2 linked regions of the Callithrix jacchus genome follow. The protein of the gene in region 1 purifies or fractionates together with the protein of each later gene. This does not show direct contact. Links are inferred from orthologs where the notes say so. Each region holds a gene or a part of one and is shown in the gene's direction. Other genes may lie near its edges. The genes, in order: NKAPD1 and CSNK2A2.

Evidence for each region.
Region 2: the proteins of NKAPD1 (region 1) and CSNK2A2 purify together in Homo sapiens (affinity purification with mass spectrometry; 5 studies listed by BioGRID and IntAct, counting the BioPlex papers as one, with this or other methods). This does not show direct contact. The link is inferred for Callithrix jacchus from reciprocal best matches to the Homo sapiens genes NKAPD1 and CSNK2A2.

Annotation. Positions count from the first base shown.
Region 1 is NC_133511.1:11,776,536-11,780,445, forward strand, and holds the start of NKAPD1 (uncharacterized protein NKAPD1), read left to right. Parts: upstream 1-1,383; 5' UTR 1,384-1,478; exon of another isoform or gene 1,479-2,032; intron 2,033-2,675; 5' UTR 2,676-2,683; coding exon 2,684-2,752; intron 2,753-3,910. Other genes in the region: PIH1D2 (PIH1 domain-containing protein 2), read right to left, coding at 105-281.
Region 2 is NC_133521.1:16,079,399-16,083,308, reverse strand, and holds the start of CSNK2A2 (casein kinase II subunit alpha'), read left to right. Parts: upstream 1-1,123; 5' UTR 1,124-1,493; coding exon 1,494-1,597; intron 1,598-2,040; exon of another isoform or gene 2,041-2,214; intron 2,215-2,389; coding exon 2,390-2,501; intron 2,502-3,910.

The DNA of each region.
Region 1 (3,910 bases):
AAAAAAAAAAAAAAAAAAAGTAGCAATAGCTAAGTGTAAGGTATTCCCTGGTTATTCTGGGATAATTTCAAGACCTCCCCATCCCTGGCACTAACTCAACTTACCAGAATCCTGGTCTGTAGGCAAAGCTGTGGTTCTGGGGCAGAACAGAGCTGTTTCCCTTCTTTCAGCTGCTGTTGAATAAACTTCTCATAGCCCTCAGGGTCACTTTCAGCTAGATCATCTAGGAGATTCCAAAACTGAGTAACTTGGGTGAGCAGACCCTTTGAGGATGTTTCCATAACTGATGAATGGTGAATAAGTTTCTTAAGCCTGTGGAAAGACATGACTTCAGGAAGAAAAATGTCTGTGGAACTATTGATTTATTTCTGCTTTGGGGAGGCGGAATGGGCAGGAATTGTTCTCGTGAAGTTAGCACTTAGCACCTGTGTCTAAAAGGTGGATCAGCACCACTTTATGTCTTCCTTATTCTTTAATTATCTAGTACCTCCTCCTATCTTCTCATGTTGTCCTCTCAGATAAGGCCTTACATTGGACCCTGACAAGTCAGAGTAATCATTTTAAGTCTGGGTTTCCTGATCTTCTTGTTTCAACACCTGACTCGTATCTCCCCAGTTCTGAAATTGCCACTTCTAATATTGCCAGTTCTGAAATCTTATGTTGGGTTAGGGCCACGTGAGACTTCTTTAATCGTCAGGATAGTTTGGTAATTCAAAGCATGGACTCGCGAGCCAGAATGCCTAGATTCCGGTCTTAGTTCTGTCTCTAGCTGTTGACCTTGAGCAATTATTAATATGTGTGTGTGTGTGTGTGTGTGTGTGTGCCTCTTTGTTCTGCTCAAAATGAAGATGATAATACCTATATCATAGGGTTATTGCGAGGATTAAGTCAGCTAATAGAGAGGCTGGGACCCTTTAGGTCTTCAGATAACTCTCCTTGGCCTCTTCTTCCATTAGAGAGGTCTCCCACAGCATCTTCACAATGAAGGAAAGAGGAGGTTTAGATTCTTCAACTACTATGTTAGGGTTACGCTAAATGGCAAACTTAACTAACGGGTAATCATTCCATAGGTCTGCAAACCCACCTCTTCTCTCAGTTCTAACGGGTAATCTGTAAGTTGGCAAACCCACCTCTTACTTCCTTGACAAACCGCAACGTCTGTTACCAGGGTAACCAGCCTTGGTACAACATCTAATTGGGTCCGGGGAGTTTCAGGCAGAAAAGTCTCTTTATATCTAGTTCCGGAATGTCTCCCTTCTGATGCCAAGCTAGCACCTTACAGGCAAGCACCCGCCACGCTTCTGCACCAATTAGTCTCTGGAGTGTCCCGAGAACCCTCCCTTGTGGGAGTCTCTGGGCCGCCTGTTGGTGGGAAGATTTCTCAGGAGAACGACTTCCGGCCTGAAAAGGAAGTCTCCTTTTTCTCCCAAATCGCTTCTTCCCCCCCTACCCCCCGCCACGCGAGGCTGCGGCGCACGGTATGGGTGTGTTTGTGTGTATTTGTGTGGGGAGGGCATTTGGAGGGAAGGTTACCGGGAGCTCCGAGGCCGCTGAGGGGCAGGGATCCCGATGACAAAGATGGGGATATTTCCTCTGTCTTCCATTTGGAAACCTCAACACCCGCTTCAGGCCCCCTAGATACTTCCTGGGGCCCAACCTAAGGCCGTAGTCATCCAAAGCGTTCCCATCTTTTCTGGGGAGTGAAACTTACCCCCGGGGTTCGTCCCAGAGGAGCGTGAGCGGGGAATGCCCGGGTCATCCCGGCCGTCCGAATTTCGCGCCGGCTCAGCATCCGGCTTCGGTCCGGGAGAGAGAATCTGCCTGTGGATCTGGGCTGAGGGCGGCAGAGGCCTGGGCCACAGGTGAGGGCAGAATAACCAGTGGGAAGGCTGCGTTTTCACGAAGGACTCGGGTGAAGCTGCAGAGCTGCCTTTGAGCCCTGACTCCTTGGCTTCCTGGGTCGGAGGAGATCTTGTAATGGAGTGGTTCTTCGTCTCACTAACAAGATGCCTGATTCCCTCAGGATCAAGGGGTGAGTGAGCGTTGGGATGGTTGCACAAAGCCCTGCTAGCCACACACGAAAATATTCTTGTCATCTAGTTTTTGGAAGCTTCCATACCAAGCAGGAAATAAAATGCCCCCAAATGGAGAAATTTGGGACATCTTTGCCTTTGATGTTTTGAGTCATTAGTTTCTGTTACTGTTGACATCTGCGGTTCCTGACACTCTCAAATTTACGTATTTGCTTCATTGCAAACTAATGTTGGGATTGGAGGTTTGATTTTTAATCTAGACATTGACCTACATCATTTGCCTGGGACTGTGTGGCTTGGGATATTACAGCTTTAAGGGACCTTCATCTACAAAATTGGGATGGAGATATTTGCCCCATACAAAATAGAGTTATGAGGATTAAATAAAATAGTGCTCATGAAAGCATTTATTTTTATGCAGTCTTGTGCATTTTCAAAGAACTTTAATGTACATTATCTTTTTTCATCTCACATTAGTGTGTTCAGGCATTTCCCTCTTTTAATAGTAAAGGGAAAACTTAGGATCTCTGACTTCTAGTTTTCAGTGATCTTTCCTTTACCTCATGCTTCTTTATAAAGTTTAAGAAAAGATGACATAATTAAAGAAATTATTACTAAACATTATTTGTTGATTCATTTCAGATTGAAGAATGTCCCGGATTCCACTGGGGAAAGTCCTCCTGAGGAATGTCATCCGGCACACAGATGCTCACAATAAGGTAGGAGGTACAACCTAGTTATTCCTCAACACTTACTGAAGGCAAACAGTGTGCCAAACATTATTTTGGCACAACTGGGAGATACAAAGAATATTCTTGTCATCTAGTTTTTGGAGACTTCTGTAAAAGTGGGAAATAAAATTATGAATAAAATAGATAATTATAATACAGTTTGATCAGTGATGTATAACAGAGATATTTGCAAAGTGCTTTGGAGCACTAAGGAGGAAATAATAAAATCTACCTTGGGGAATTAGAAAAGATTTTACAGAATGAGTGGTATTTGAGCTGCTTATATTTGAACTGGTTCTTGAATAGGTATAAGTTTAACAGGTATGAAAGATCATTCTGGATAGAGAGCATCATACATTAATATGGCAATGAGAAAGAGCATTAATCAGTTGAGGCATGGTAAGAAATTTATATATCCAGAAAGTAGGGAATGTAGGGGTTAGTAGCAGAAGATAAGGCCTCAGTGGTAATTAGAGTTGGATTGTGATGTTTGGAGCTAAGACTTTTTCCTCTAGGCAATAAAGAAGCCATCAAATGTTTTTGAACAGGGTGTGACATGATCATAGTTATATTTTAGAAAGGTGATTTGTCAGCTGGGTAAGGAATGAATCAGATGGAGAGAAACAATAGAAAGATTAATTAGGAGGTAATTACAGTAATACAGGTGAGAGATGATGAGTGTTTGCATGAAATTAGTGACAGCAGGGATGAAGAAGAGGAATTTAGGATAAATCCAAAGAACTTGATGGCTAATTAAACGATAATGATAAGAATGGAATCTAATTCAGCTGACATCGAATAACACAGGGTTTAGGGACATCCACCCCCCTCCACCCCCTCCCCCGGCATAGTCAAAAATCCATGTATAATTTTTTACTCCCTCAAAACTTAAGTGCTAATAGCCTACTACTTACTGACTGAAAGCCATAGCAATACCATAAACAGTGGATTAACACATGTTGTTGTTGTTGTTGTTGTTGAGACGGAGTTTCGCTCTTGTTGCCCAGGCTGGAGTGCAATGGTATGTTCTCAGCTCACCACAACCTCCATCTCCCAGGTTCAAGCGATTCTCCTGCCTCAGCCTCTGAGTAGCTGGGATTACAGGCATGCGCCACCGTGCCCAGCTAATTTTGTATTTCTAGTAGA
Region 2 (3,910 bases), on another chromosome or scaffold:
AATTGGCCCAAGGTCACACAGCTTGTAAGCAGCAGTACTGGATAGATCTGACTCCACAGTCTGTGCTCTTAGCTTTGTCAAGGAGGAAGGCCCAGAGTTTCATCCAGAAAACAGAATGTGAAAAGGGATTGGAATCAGAGCAACCTGGACTGGGTGAAGAGGTTGTGTCGCGAAAGGATGCTGGATGAGAAAGAAAGTCAGAAGAAGGGCCTAGAATGTCAAAAGAGAGGAGTGTCCAGGGCCGCAGGCAACACTGGAAGCCAGGCCAGCTCAGCTGGCCACCCATCCCGGTGCATACCCAATCTCAGTCTGTCCCTTCAGGTCAAATTTACATTCTCCTGCTCTCCCTCCTCCTCAACAAAAACAGGAGATTTACAGACTCTCAACGTCTCTCCCCACAAGCGACTTACTAATCACAAAGGGAAAAATTGTAACTTTGCGGTGGCACAACCTGGCCGACTCCAGCTTAACCAAGTGACCAAAGTGGGTATTCAGAGGGTTCTCAGGGAAGGCTCTGGAGGGGCTTTTGGGGGAAATGTATAAGGGTTTTGTGAGGAGGACTCTGAATGAAGAGGGTGGGAAGTCTTGGGGACTGAGGAGTCTGCGGGAACAGGGAAGGGTCCAGAGGGGGAAGGAGGGGTACGTCTCGGGGGAAGGGAGAAGTATTGAGGTGGGAGAGGTTCTGAGGTTTGAGCGAGGCCCTGGAGAGAGACTTGACAGTTTGGGCGAGAAGAGGGTATGGGAGGTGTGTGGGGGTAAAAGCTGGGCAACTGCAGAGCTGGGGGCAGGGTCTCCACCGACAATCTTGAAAGGGTCGGGACTCGAAGGGGAGGGTTCTAAGGCAACGGCCAGTGGAAGTGGGGGCTCCTGTGGCGTGAGGTAAGGCCAGCCGGAGGGTGAGGCGATTTGGACAGCCCGGCCTGGGGCAGCGGGAGGGCCAAGGTGGGGGAGGGCGCGGGGGAGGGGGCGGGGCGTGCTGGGGTGGGGCCGGGGCGGGGTCGGCACCGCCCGGCGGGTCCCCCCGCGCTGCAGGGGGCGCTGTGAGCCTGGGCGGCCCCAGGCCGGGCGGCGGCCGCTCCCCGTGAGCGCGGCCCCTTTTCCGGGTTTCCTCCGCCTCCTCCTCCTCTCCTCCTTCTTCTCCGCTGCTGCCGCCGCTGCCCCTTTCCCGGCCGGTGGCTGCCGCTGCCGGTGCCGCCGCCGCCGCCTCCTGGGGGCCGCGAGCCGAGCGGAGACCGCCGCGGAGCGCGAGCGCCGCCCGCCCCGCCGCTCCGCCGGCCGCTCCAGGGCCGGGCCGGCTCGGCCGGCGCCCCCCGCGCCCCCAGCCCGCCCGCCCCCGCGGGCCCGGCCTGGCGCGGCCGCCCGCTACCGCGCTCCTCCTCCTCCTTCTCCAGAGCCCGGCGGCCAGCCGCCTCCTCCGCCCGCCGCCCCGCGCCCTCCGCCGCGCCGCCGCCGCCACCCTCTGCGCCCCGCGCCGCCCCCCGGTCCCGCCCGCCATGCCCGGCCCGGCCGCGGGCAGCAGGGCCCGGGTCTACGCCGAGGTGAACAGCCTGAGGAGCCGCGAGTACTGGGACTACGAGTCTCACGTCCCGAGCTGGGGGTAAAGCCGCCGCCGTCCCCCGCCGGGCCCGCTGACCCCTGTCTCCGCCCGGCCGCCCCCCGCGACCCGCACTCGGCCGGGGTGGTGTCTCCCGCCGATCCCTCCGCGGCCCCGCTGGAGACAGAGGTCCCGCTCTCGCACATGTCCTCGTCTTCCTCTTCCCTCCCCTTTACCCCGGTTTCGTCCCTTTCTCCCCGCTTTGCGCACCCCTTTCCCCCAAGGAATGATTTTTTTACTCGGAGAGAAGTGTGGGGTGCACGGATCGGCGCTGGGTGGAAGTGAGGGAGCAGCCCTTCTCACACTTTTGGGTTTCCACTAGGGTGGGAAGTCAACAGCTGTCCTCTGGAGCTATTAAAATTCTCTGCCTTTTCGGTTTTCTGAGATGAGGTAGTGGGAGGAAATTTCTTAAAGACGTCCACATTTTTAAAACAGGGATTGTCTACCTTCAGGGTGTGAAACGGGAAGCAGGTGCTGTGAAGCCGCGGGGCAGAGGGGGCACCCTCTAGGCCTTCAGGACGGGTGCTTTGTTCGCCCCTCTGGATTGGCTCAGAGCGTTGCCTTTCTACCCCATCTTCCCAAGTTAGGAGAGACCAGTTAGGTTAGGAGCTCTGCAGAGTGAAGGGAGCCAAGATTACGTCGTGGCTTTCATTTAGGGAATGAGTTGTGACGTGATGTGTAGACACTTCCAAGTGTTTGCCTGGCGGAAGCGGCTGGATGACGTGTATAGTGGGCATAGGCTTGGCTAACCCCCAGTCCTGGCATTTATGTGTGTCTGTCTCTTACCTTTTACAGTAATCAAGATGATTACCAACTGGTTCGAAAACTTGGTCGGGGAAAATATAGTGAAGTATTTGAGGCCATTAACATCACCAACAATGAGAGAGTGGTTGTAAAAATCCTCAAGGTGAGTGTCCTATGAGTGATAAATAACATTTGTTCCCCCACAGGGCAAAAGGATGTAAGCTACCCCAGTCACATTCTAGAATGGGCAGTGCAAGCTTGAATTTAATTACTTATTTAGAGTCAGAGTCTCACTCTGTAACCCAGGCTGGAGTGCAGATTATGGTTCACTGCAGCCTTCAACTCCTGGGCTCAAGTGATCCTCCCTTCTCAGCCTCCCAAGTAGCTGGGACTACAGGTGCATGCCATCATGCCCAGCTATTTAAAAAAATTTTTTTGTACAGACAGGGTCTGGTCATGTTGCCCAGGCTGGTCTTAAACTCCTGAGCTCAAGCAGTCCTCCAGAACGACTCCTTGCAGGCTTCCCAAAGTTGCTGGGGTTACAAGCATGAGCCACTGTGCCCAGCCCACACTCAAATTTTACTTCTCTGATGACCCTTCATTACTTCTTTTTCCACCCCATTTTCCTGTGAACTTTCAAGGAAATGTGCAGACTGGTCACAAATCTAAGCCCAACTCTTAAGTTCAGGAAGGTGTTCTAAAATGTAAATTATAGGTGCCTAAAGCAGAAATTCCAAAAGGGCTCCATTTGTTAGAAAATAAATAGGTATTCAAAAGACCAAAAAGCCATTCTCAATTTCAGGTCTCCTTGAGCACTGTTTGTTACTCTTGGTGCGTGATCTACCTTATTCCATAAAGAAAGCTGGACAAAACTGGAGTGACTTCAGAGATGTATTGCGAGCCCAAGTTGAAGGAAATTCCTTAGTGGATAATCACTTGTTTTTTCTTCTTTGGCAGTAAAGTTTCAGGTGGCGTGGATATAGTGCACTAGTAGGGCTGAGAAGCCTTGTTAGAAAGCCAGAGAGCCTTTGTTGCTTATCAGCTAGTAAAAATATAGAATTCACTTATGATTTCTAAAGTAATCACTGGAACAAAACTCTTAACATATGGTTTAGCGATCTCAGTTTGATAATGCTGTGCTTTTGTTATCTCTTTGATGAAGATGATTTTAATGAGCATGAAGGGTCGGCTAAATTTTCCTTCAGGTAAAAGATTAATTGTGTAGCTTTAATAATGTTTTATAGGGTGTGGTAAAAAGTAATTGGTAGAATCTTTGATGGGTCCTCATTATTGCCAGATTATTTCATGTGGGCACGTGTCATTCAGTGAGAGATTGAGAAGATGGAAGAGTAATGTAAGCACTTTTGTATACATGTGATTTCCAGTGTGGCCCTTTTGCAGAGGTTCTGTGGACTAAGAATGTGGTATTGAAAAGCTGTTTCTGTGTGTTAGGGCAGCTGTATAGGTAATCCCTGTTTAATGTGAGGGGTCAATGTTAGCTTTCTGGTAATCACCTTTCAGAAAAATGATCAACTCCATCACTCAATACATCCTAGCCTAGTGATGAAGGAG